Linked DNA regions of Macaca mulatta. The protein of the gene in region 2 interacts with the protein of the main gene of each other region in a pairwise test. Links are inferred from orthologs where the notes say so. Each region holds a gene or a part of one and is shown on either strand. Other genes may lie near its edges.

Region 1 (5,767 bases), on a different chromosome or scaffold from region 2:
GGAATGCAAGAATCTTCCTGAAAATTTGCTAATAAATGTAATACTACTGCCATACTGCCCAGAAATAATTTGTGTTTTTTTTGGGTGAAGTACCAGAATACCGTTTGGTCACTTACCTAGTGGCTTAAAGGAACCAGAGCATCTATCCAAAGGAGCCATTTAGTTTCCTCCCAGCACTTATGATTGAGCCTTTTTTGACTGTTTCAGAAGTGAGATTAGAGAAGTTTGTCTTGTTCTTTTGTCTCTTTTGAGGTTGAAGTTTAGGAGATTGACTCATTTTGGCCATTTTCTTGTTTCATTTTTACTGTAGGCAGTAACTGGGGCTAAAGCTCTGGGGAGGCACTTGGCTATGCTTGCTGAAGTATTTCCATAGTTGGACTGTCTCTGGCAAATAAGTAAATTTCATTTAAAGCTTTTCAAAGCTGTGTAAATCTTGGCAGAACCCCATAGAAAGCATAGCATATAGTTCCTTTTAAAACAACTATATTATTAAATGAAGAATTTGGGGAAAGCATATTGCTTTAATGGTCTTAATACCATTTAAAAAGATCCTTCTACATTAATATTCAAAATGTTTTCTAGTAGTGGTGGAAATCTTCTGCATCTACTAGTTCAAAGGTAGGCTTTCCCAGTCTTTTGGGATCTAGCAAGGATGTTTAGTCTTACCTGCAACTGTCCCTGCAAGAATGTAGATTTGAAGTTTTTAATAAAGTTGACCAGTTCATGTATTTCTGATGAATTAAATAGAGGAGAATGGCATTTGAGTAATCAGAAAATACTACCTTAAAATAATAAAATTTTGAAAGTGATGGCATTATAATGTTTTCAAAGCGTAATGATGTTAACTAAATTATCCAGTTACTGACTAGTACTTTTTTTTATACCTATCCCCAGGGAAGGAAGAATATGCAAGACGGTGCAAGTGATGGTGAAATGCCAAAATTTGATGGTGCTGGTTATGATAAGGACCTGGTGGAAGCCCTTGAAAGAGACATTGTATCCAGGAATCCTAGCATTCATTGGTTAGAGTCTTTGAAATTATTGAATTAAAGTAGAGGAGAACACAAGTTATAGGTTGGCTTGGTGTGAGTTTTCTCTTGTTATTCATTAATCTGATTATGACCACCTCTGTAATGTGAAAGTATAGAATTGACGGGAGAGTTCTGTCGAATGTAACCAGGACATTTTACATGTTAATTTGAAGTTGATATATAACTGACAAAAGTTGTTAATTCAGTGACATGTCCTCATTAATAACTAATGTTTTCACTGATGTTTTTATGCAGTAAGAATTAGACTAATGTTCTTAATATGAGAACAATTTCATAAGTAAAAAAAATTAGAAGAATTAGGTTTGACCATAAATCAAAGATCCCTGAATAAACATTATGAAACTTTGCTCTTCTTTCAAAGGGATGACATAGCAGATCTGGAAGAAGCTAAGAAGTTGCTAAGGGAAGCTGTTGTTCTTCCAATGTGGATGCCTGACTTTTTCAAAGGGATTAGAAGGCCATGGAAGGTGAGAATTTTTTAAATTGGTTTTGGTATAAGAATGCTGCTTGCATCAGAATGAAAGGCAGCATTGCTGTATTTTTGATGTATTTAACCCATTTTGAAAAGGTTGGGAGAAGTTTATATACACCCAAAACACCTGGATTTGAATTTGTATTGTGATGTGTTACATCTGCATAGTAGGAGAGATGGGCTTGGAGTGTTGAAACTATATAGTCTTTAGGTCACTTCCCTCAGGGATGCTGAGCTAGAGATTAGTTTTAAGAATTTTCTAGGTATATGGTTCTGTAAATAAAAAGTTAAGCAGATTAAGCAGAAATAATGCATAGTCTTATAGAATAAAGGTATGATCAAACAGTTATTTTTCAAAAGTTGGAATATTTCTCATTGATGGTTATTTTGTTTTACTTGTCACTGACTTGAAGCTCATTGTTGACTGTTTTATAGACTACATTTGCTATATTTTGAGTTTTCACAAATGTTTTTTCTAAAGAGAGGTCTTTAGCTGTGTTTTAAAAAACAACTTCTTGACCGGGTACCATGGCTCACCCCTGTAATCCCAGCACTTTGGGAGGCTGAGGAGGGTGGATCACGAGGTCAGGAGATCGAGACCATCCTGCCCAACATGGTGAGATCTCATCTGTACTGAAAATACAAAAATTATCTGGGCATGGTGGTGCGTGCCTGTAATCCCAGCTACTCGGGGAGGCTGAGGCAGGAGAATTGTTTGAAGCCGTGAATCGGAGGTTGCAGTGAGCCAAGATCGTGCAACTGCACTGCAGCCTGGCAACAGAGCCAGGCTCCGTCTCAAAAAAACAAACAAACAAACAAACAAAAAAAACCACTTCTTATATCATTACAGAATATCTGACTTTATGAATTTATTTTGTCCTTGCTGTGCTTTTGTAGTATTTATTGGCAAACTGGCTTAAGAAAATAAGATATATTTCTAAAGAATCTTTTTCCTGACCAAATAATTTTTTTTCTGCAACAGTAGAATAAAATTCTTGACTAGAACTATTATTATTTTTTTAAAAATCGTGTTTGAATTTTTTAGGGATTTGTGAGAATGGATTATTTACTAAAATGGGACAATAAATTTATTTAGTTTTTGAGACTGAGTCTTACTCTGTTGCCCAGGCTGGTGTGCAGTGGCATGATCTTGGCTCACTGCAACCTCTGCCTCCTAAGTTCAAGTGATTCTTGTGCCTCAGCCTCCGGAGTGGCTGCAATTACAGGTGCGTGCCACCACGCCCAGCTAAATTTTGTATTTTTGGTAGAGGCTGGATTTTGCCATGTTGGCCAGGCTGGTCTTGAACTCCTGGCCTCAAGTGATCCGCCCACCTTGACCTCCCAAAGTCCTGAGATTACAAGCATGAGCCACTGTTTCAAGCCTGATAAATGTATTTTAAAGAATACATGAAAATAAGGAGACCTTAGAAATTTTTCAGGTTTATAAAATTTGTCTCAAAACGTAAATTCCAGAATTTCAGAATTGGAATGAGTCTTTGAGATCATCTTAAATCCCCATTATTTGACAGACTAGAAAATTGAAGTCCAAATAGGTTGTGACAACCATAATAGACCTTTAGAAAATTTAAAATTCAATGTGTCTCAGCTTCCTATGTTTATATGTGCCTTTCCCTCCATAGCACACGTCTGCATTGTGTGATACCATTCCTTTATTCTTCAGGCATTTACTTAGCCCTGTTATATGTAAGGTTCCTTGTTTCTCAAGACAGAGTCCCTGAGCTGTGAGACATCCTAAACAGAGAGTTGGGCAGTTACAGATCGCTTTCAGCATTAGGCACTAGCAGAGCCTAATGGGTGGTACAGTCCACATGTGCTTGGAAAGCTCAGCAAAGCACAAACATGACATGATTAGAGAAGGCTTTATGCTTGAGGACGTGGGATTCAAGCTGCAATTTGTAGGGTTGTGAGGATTTCACTGTGTTGGAGGAGACATTTTGGAGATGTAGGAACTTGAGGGGGATGAATGATGTGAGCAGTGGAATATAGTGAGAAAGTGTAAGTGTGTTTGGGAATAGATGCGTTGACGTTTTGTAAGGAAGGCAGCATAGAATATTGGTAAGGGGCACAGATCCTGGATCCAGACTGGGTGCATACGAATTCTAACCATTTCCACTTATTCTGTGATCTTGAGCAAGTTATGGAACTTCTCCATGCCTCACTTTCCTTATCTATAAAATGGGAATACTAATAGTTATCTCATAGGATATAGTGAGGTTAAAATGAGTTAATGAGGCCGTAGAATTATGTAAATGTTGAAAACATAAATTAGTGGAAGATTCCAATGGGAAGGTAGGTTGAGGCCAGACTATTTCCCAGGAGTTCTATTCTTTTTCTGTAGATGTTTGGGAGACGTCTTTGAGCAGGTAGGTAGCATAATTAAACTGGTGAGTTGGAAAAAACAGTCTGGTTGCAATGAACACAGAAAGATGGGAGGCAAAGAGCATGTTCAGAAGTGATTGGCAGTAGTTTAGGCTTAAAATTCAAAGAGCCTGAATTAGGATGGTGATTATGAATTAGGAATGGAAGGACAGATGCTAGTGATATTTACTGAAGGAAGTTGGTAACCTTTTGGATGTAATATATATGTCAAGAAGAAGGCAGGGGTAAAGATAATTGGGTTTTGTCTGTGGCAGAATAGTGATGATAACATAAATGTGGAGCTCAGGAAGGAGAAAGACGCTGGTTTATTGTTCTTGATGTTGAAAGTTCAGTAGGAGCAGGGGGTGCTTCTGGGGGAAAAGATATGGAATTATTTTTGAGTTTTAAATTTTGGTATATTAACGTGGAAATGCACCAAGTTAGAAATACAGGGCCGGCCGGGCACGGTGGCTCACGCCTGTAATTCCAGCACTTTGGGAGGCTGAGGCAGGCGGATCACGAGGTCAGGAGATCGAGACCATCCTGGCTAACACGGTGAAACCCCGTCTCTACTAAAAATAAAAAATTAGCCGGATGTGGTGGCGGGCGCCTGTAGTCCCAGCTACTCAGGAGGCCGAGGCAGGAGAATGGTGTGAACCCAGGAGGTGGAGCTTGCAGTGAGCTGAGATTGCGCCACTGCACTCCAGCCTGGGGGACAGAGCGAGACTCTGTCTCAAAAAAAAAAAAAAAAAAAAAAGAAATACAGGGCTGAAGCTTGTGAGAGAAGTTAAAGACGGAGATATTAAGTGCCTTTTCAAAAATATGTATCTCTGGGATGAACTTTTCTGTAACAGAATAATAGCGAGGTCCTTCTTTATAAGTTTTAAGATCAGATTATATGATTTTTATAAAGGCAACATTTAAAATTTTACTTAGAAAATAAGGAGATGCCCAAGAAATAGACTACTGTATTTTCAGTGGCTGAAGTATAAACATATGCTTGAATCACTCTTACATTGAGACTCTAGCCATCTATCCATTTATCATCCAGCCTATCTTAGCACTTCTTAGACTGCGTCATAATTTATCTATCTATATTTTCTAATAGATTAAAAGTCTCTTGAGGATTTATGTGTGATTCCTGATAGATTCAATTTTTTTTCCTCAGGGCCTAGTACTTAGTAAGCATTGGATACATTTACACTGGGTAAATACATATTTATTGAGTATTTACCTTGTGTCACGTGATAGGCTAAGTGCGGAGGATACCAAAATGAGTGAATAATAATAGCCCCCAAGAAGCTCATGGTCTTTGGGTGAATAAGCATGTGTTTAATGGAGGCCATGTGTTAAGTGCAGTATTTGTTGAGGACAGTGTGACTAGTGTCTGAAAGAGTAATGAACTCACTGCTATGGCAGGAGAGAGGAGGAGGGACTTAGTCTGCTGTGGAGAATAATATCAGGGATGGCCTCCCAGAGCAGGTGACTCTGAGCTGAGACTTGAAAGATGAATAGAAGTTAAACAGGTAGATGTGATGAAGAAAGGCTCTAAGGCAGAGTGGATATCATGTACAAACACATGAAAAGTGTAAGAGAACATAGTATATGTGAGGAATCTTCTGTAGTTCAGTGTGGCTGGAAGGATAGAGTGTTTATATGGGACATAGTAACAAAAGACACTGCTGGAGTGGTTGGTGTGACCTACTTCTCACGAAGAGCCCTGCATGCCATGCCAAAGATGTCAGTGAGCCACTGAAGAGTTTTTAGTAGAAGGGTATTTGCAAGTGTAGGAAGATATCGTTTCTGTAGCAGTATGGAGGATAGGTTGGGGATGGACATAGATGGACATGAAAAAGTAATCTCA
Region 2 (5,446 bases):
TTATAGAAGCTCCACAGCTTCTTGAGAGTGGGCTGGGAATACCCTTGACCCTGCACCTGGAGAAGGAGGTGTGAGAAAGATCTCTGGGGAAAGTCACAGAGACACCGAGAAGTGGAACTCCCTGAGCCTGGTGAAGACGTTGTCTGGAAAAAAAAAAGAAAAAAAGAAAAAAAAAAGACCTTGCCTCCCTCCATGTTTTGTTCCTGTATTTTTGCCTTTCTGTCTTCTAGGCTTCCTGTTACCTGAAACAGGGCAAATATGCTGAGGCTGAGACACTATACAAAGAGATCCTGACCCGTGCCCATGTGCAGGAGTTTGGGTCTGTGGATGGTGAGTGGTGAGGGCTTGGGGAAGGGGCTGTGGGAAAGAAAAGAAATGCAGACCAAAGGTCGGGGGTTAGGCCACAGTGGTTCCCAGGGGGAGCCAGACCCCTTCAGTCCAGCCTGTCAGCCTCTGGGTCCTGGCTCTCCGACACTGTCTAGCTCCGATCTCTAACCTCCCCACCCCGTGTATCACCCCCAGATGACCACAAGCCCATCTGGATGCATGCAGAGGAGCGGGAGGAAATGAGCAAAGTGAGTGGGGGGAAGGGGGGCCAGCCTGGGGAGCTCAAGGCTACCAGGGTCTCTGTCTTACTCCTTCCATTAGCCCAACTCACACTTCCCACCCCAGCACCAGCCCCAGATGCATGGTGTCCTCCCCAGCCCAGCCTGCACCCTAGCCCCATGCCACCGTGCATCCCAGCATCTCTGTATTCTTATCTTTGGCTCTCCCTGCCCTTCTCTCTGGCCTCTCTCTGTCCTGCAGAGCCGGCACCATGAGGGTGGCACACCCTATGCTGAGTATGGAGGCTGGTACAAGGCCTGCAAAGTGAGCAGGTGAGCTGCCAGTGAAAAGCCAGCTTGGCCTCTGATGCCCTCCATCCAGGCTCCCGGCCTCCCAGACCTTTTCCCTTCCTCCCGTAGACTTTCCCTGAGCTTTAGCTCTGTTCCCTCTCCTATTTTCTTATTTTTTTTTTCCTCTTGTCTTGCTTGGAAGACAAATGTTTTCTTTTCTGAACCCATTCTCTCTTCCTTCTCTGGTCTGTTTCTCACCACAGCCCCACCGTGAACACTACTCTGAGAAACCTGGGAGCTCTGTATAGGCGCCAGGGAAAGCTGGAGGCTGCTGAGACCCTGGAGGAATGTGCCCAGCGGTCCCGGAGACAGGTCAGAAGCCCAGAGGGGAAGGAGGTCCTTGAGGGAAGGGCCCTGGGGATGAGAGACTGCTGAGGTTTCTTGGGAGTCTCCTAAGAATAAGCGGAAAGGCTGATGAGGCCAGGAGGGAGAGGAAAGTGAGGCAGTGTTGTGATTGTGGTTGTTTTTAAGCGTGTTCTTACCCCCTACCTGCACTTTGTGGTCAGGACTCTAATTTCAAGATTCACTAAATGGGGATATGAAGGAGAAACCCTGCCCTTTCATAAGGAGGGGCCTGGGTGGTGTGGGTGAGAGGAGTGAGGTGGGGGAGAGCCTAAGTCAAGAATTTCTCAGATTGTGGGTCTCAATAGTAGGTTGTGAAATCAATTCAGTGTGGGCTATGGGGCTAAAAATATATACAGATCTATATATAGCAATGCATTGCAAATAGAAAAGGTGAGTATTGTTCCAGTAGGCATATACTGAGACATCACAAGGAAAAATGTTTTCCTTGCAGTGGCTGATGGTGAAAAAAATTTGAAAGCCCCATCCTGAGGAGTTAAGGAGTGGGAAGTCCCAGGTCCTTCCTTTTCCTTCCAGGGCACTGACCCTATCAGTCAGACCAAGGTGGCAGAGCTGCTTGGGGAGAGTGATGGTAGAAGGACGTCCCAGGAGGGCCCTGGGGACAGTGTGAAATTCGAGGGAGGTGAAGATGCTTCTGTGGCTGTGGAATGGTCTGGGGTAAGTCTGATCACTGCCTTTTCATCTCTCCTGCCCACTCCTGCTGGTGGTGGTGAGAGGCTCTTGGCTATGCTGTCCCAGTCTAGGTAGTGTATCCCTTCAGGGGTATCTCTGGGAGCAAGCTTTTGACCCGACTTTTATTTTCAGTCACTGGGCCTTGGGGGTGGGGGATGTGTGCAGAATAAATGCTGGGACTAGACTCAGAAACCCATCTGTGTGGGATCCCTGTAGCTTTCATAGCTCACCCCTTTCTGCCAGGATGGCAGTGGGACCCTGCAGAGGAGTGGCTCTCTGGGCAAGATCCGGGATGTGCTCCGCAGAAGCAGTGAAATCCTGGTGAGGAAGCTCCAGGGGACTGAGCCTCGGCCTTCCAGGTACACATGGAAGTCAAGATATGGTAAAGTGGCTGGGTGCTGTGGCTCAAGCCTGTAATCCCAGCACTTTGGGAGGCCGAGGCGGGTGGATCACCGGAGGTCAGGAGTTCGAGACCAGCCTGGCCAACAAGGTGAAACCTCATCTCTCCTGAAAATACAAAAATTAGCCGGGCGTGCTGGTGGGTGCCTGTAATCTCAGCTACTTGGGAGGCTGAGGCAGAACAATTGCTGGAACCTGGGAGGTGGCGGTTGCAGTGAGCTGAGATCATGCCATTGTACTCCATCCCAGGCGACAAAAGTGAAACTCTGTCTCAAAAAAAAGAAAAGAAAAAAAAAAAGATATGGTAAAGCAGGCAAGTAAAGTAAGCCCTTGCCTCCAACTCCTCTTGGCCCCTGATCTCTGGAGAGGTATCTTGGAGAGAAACAGGGAGGAAGTCAATGGGACAGCCATGGAGAGAGAGTTTGGGTAGAATGGGTGCCCCAACTTGGGGGATGAAGGTAGCTGAGATACTGGTTCCTGAGGCAGATAAGAAAAGTTGGGGGAGGGGATAGAGGGGAGGCAGTGATTTGATTTTGTGTGGCAGTGCTCAAGAGGCCCACAGCTTTAAGGCCACTCAGGAGGAAGAGAGGAGGCCTCATTTCTTCCATTTTCCATTGCAGCAGCAACATGAAGCGAGCAGCCTCCTTGAACTATCTGAACCAACCTAGTGCAGCACCCCTCCAGGTGAGAGCAGTGCTTGTGAGCATATTGGTGGGTGATGAAAAAAGAACAGCCAGTGAGCAAGCCCAGTGGAGTAAGGGAAGTGGGGAGAGGAGTCATCTGGGATAATGATGAGCCAGGGGATTGCAGTTATTAAGGAATCAGGCAGATAGCTTGTGGTGAGTGATGACCACCAACGGACAGTTTCAGGCCAGACATAGTAGCAAATAAGTTAATAAGGAGGGAAATAGGAATATTCTTTAAACTGGTACTTTGGAATTATGAATAATTTAAGAATTATTTGTAGATACTCATTTTTTCATCCTGCGGCTACCTTCATAGTAGATGAGAATGGAAAAAGAAAAGCATTAAATAATCCCCATCTGAGAAAACAGTAATGATATTTTAATGGCAAATGACTTCTTATATGAACACACTCAGAGTATATGCCAGTATTCATGTGGTTCTTCCAGAGAGCTTCTCCACCAGATTGTGGCCTTCTGGAAAACCCTAGCAGAGGCTAAACAAAGTCCCAGGTCCAGAGATAGACTGGTCCAGAGATGGATGTGATCCTAGGTCCAGAGATACACTGTGGCCATTGGATGGATGGACTCCAGGAGACAGTCTTTGGGAGGCTGAGGTCCCTGAACTGATGAGGTAGTGTTGTCTGTTTCAGGTCTCCCGGGGCCTCAGTGCCAGCTCCATGGATCTCTCTTCAAGCAGCTGACATTCAACCCAGTCCCCAGGTCTGCTGGGTCCCCCTACCCCTATAGCCCTCACAGCATTCCCCATTGCTCCTGGCTCTTCCCCACCCCTAGGTGGGACAGTGAAGGGGAGCAGTTTAACCAGAAGATTGCTGCTGCCCTTAGGGTTTCAGCTCCCTCCTCAGGAATCCCTCTTAGGAAGGACCCTCAGGACACCCTCTCCGCACCCTGTGGTCCTCTAGAGTAGCTAGCTCTGAGGCCCCCAAGGTGGGTACAAAGCAGGTATGGCCCTCAGAGATGCAGCCTGCTGCTGGCTTTTCAGTCAGAGGGTTGAGGGCTGGCCAGCCAAGCTGCCTTGCCTTGGCCGCTCTTATTCCCTCCCTCTGCTGTCTCACTTCAGGTCCATGTATTTCACTTTTCTTAAATAAAAGAATCAGGTAACCTTTCTGCGACTTGAGTCCTGATTGAAGAGGGTATGAAGCAGGGCTTGTGTTGGGGCCCTTCACAGAGGGTGAGGTGCAGTGATGGATGGGGCAGCAGGAGGAGTGTTGATTCTTGGATCTCTCTTCTCTTCCTCCCCTTGTTTGTATCATCTCCAGCAGGGCCTGTAGGAAGGCATCTGGGGGATGGGGAAGAAGGAGGCCCACAACCCAAGGAAAAGGTGCTGTGGACTGGGTTGTCAGGGACATGTGGTGGCCATGTGGCAGGACCCTGGAGTCCTGGCGCCACTTCTCCTGGCTGTGAGGCCCTCTGTGGCTGCCATTCGTTCTCCCAGCTGCTTGGGGGAAGGGAGGACTAAGCAGGCCTGGGGGGCCCTCCGGAGCCAGAGGGGAGACAAGGCACTATCCATCCCCTCTCAGCATATCTTGGAGGCCTGAGCAGCAGCTGGGGCCCATCTTCTAAAGCTTGACTCCTCCTGACCCGCCTCCTACACCCCTTGCTGCTTTCACAACAAAGAAAGAATGTGGGGGTGGTGGCGCGGGGGGTGGGGGGTGCCTGGAACAAGGGTTGTGCTGGGCCTCCCCACAGCTGGAGACTTGGCCATACCCTGACACAGCCCAGACTGCCTGGAGATGGACTTGGGATGAATTTGTCAGTTTAGCAGCCTTCAGCCTGGCTTTCAGAACCCAGCGTGTTTCTACCTTTGGGTTCAGATTGGTCTAGAGCCAAACCAGACCCCAGTCATGCACCCTTCAGCCCCTCTCCGGGCTACACAGCATCTTCAGGTTACTCTGCTGGGGGACATTAAGGACACCGTGCTGTTCTGGGTCTGCCTGTAAGATTTTGGGTTGCTGAAGAGTGGGTGGGGCCCACCTCTTCCGCTGCCCCCACTTGGAGAATTCTGGGGGAACTGTTGGCCAGAGCCTCCAGGTATGCACAGAATGGGCCATTCTCCCCAGGGTCCACGGCATCTCACAAGTCACTTAGGTTCTCCCGGATCCCTGCAGAGTCAGTGGTAGGTACAACAAATACTCCCCTACCCCTCTCAGGTCCCCTGCGCTCTCCTGAGCCTTGCTCTCTCTGTTCTCCATCCCTCTCCAGACCCCTCCCCCTACTGAGCTCCTCCCCGTCTCGGCGAGGAGGGGGCGTCGAGGGGGCGGGGCGCCGTGCGGGGGCCGGAGGGGAGGGGGCGTCGTGGGGCGGGGCTTGGCGGCGGCAGCGGCGGCGGCGCGCGAGGACTCCGAGGTACCGGGCGCGCGCGGCTCCGGCTCGGGACGCCTCGGGGTCGGGCTCCGGCTGCGGCTGCTGCTG

Evidence for each region. The genes of interacting proteins can lie anywhere in the genome.
Region 1: the proteins of KLC4 (region 2) and KATNAL1 interact in binary tests that used the Homo sapiens proteins (3 or more experiments, as listed by UniProt). The two-hybrid records come from large-scale screens. The link is inferred for Macaca mulatta from reciprocal best matches to the Homo sapiens genes KLC4 and KATNAL1.

The regions. Positions count from the first base shown.
Region 1 is NC_133422.1:10,105,086-10,110,852, reverse strand, and holds part of KATNAL1 (katanin p60 ATPase-containing subunit A-like 1), read left to right. Parts: intron 1-894; coding exon 895-1,022; intron 1,023-1,413; coding exon 1,414-1,519; intron 1,520-5,767. UniProt on the Homo sapiens protein: Regulates microtubule dynamics in Sertoli cells, a process that is essential for spermiogenesis and male fertility. Severs microtubules in an ATP-dependent manner, promoting rapid reorganization of cellular microtubule arrays.
Region 2 is NC_133409.1:139,052,658-139,058,103, reverse strand, and holds the end of KLC4 (kinesin light chain 4), read left to right. Parts: intron 1-230; coding exon 231-330; intron 331-522; coding exon 523-575; intron 576-807; coding exon 808-878; intron 879-1,099; coding exon 1,100-1,208; intron 1,209-1,692; exon of another isoform or gene 1,693-1,775; coding exon 1,776-1,916; intron 1,917-2,147; exon of another isoform or gene 2,148-2,174; coding exon 2,175-2,290; intron 2,291-2,950; coding exon 2,951-3,014; intron 3,015-3,666; coding exon 3,667-3,717; 3' UTR 3,718-4,139; downstream 4,140-5,446.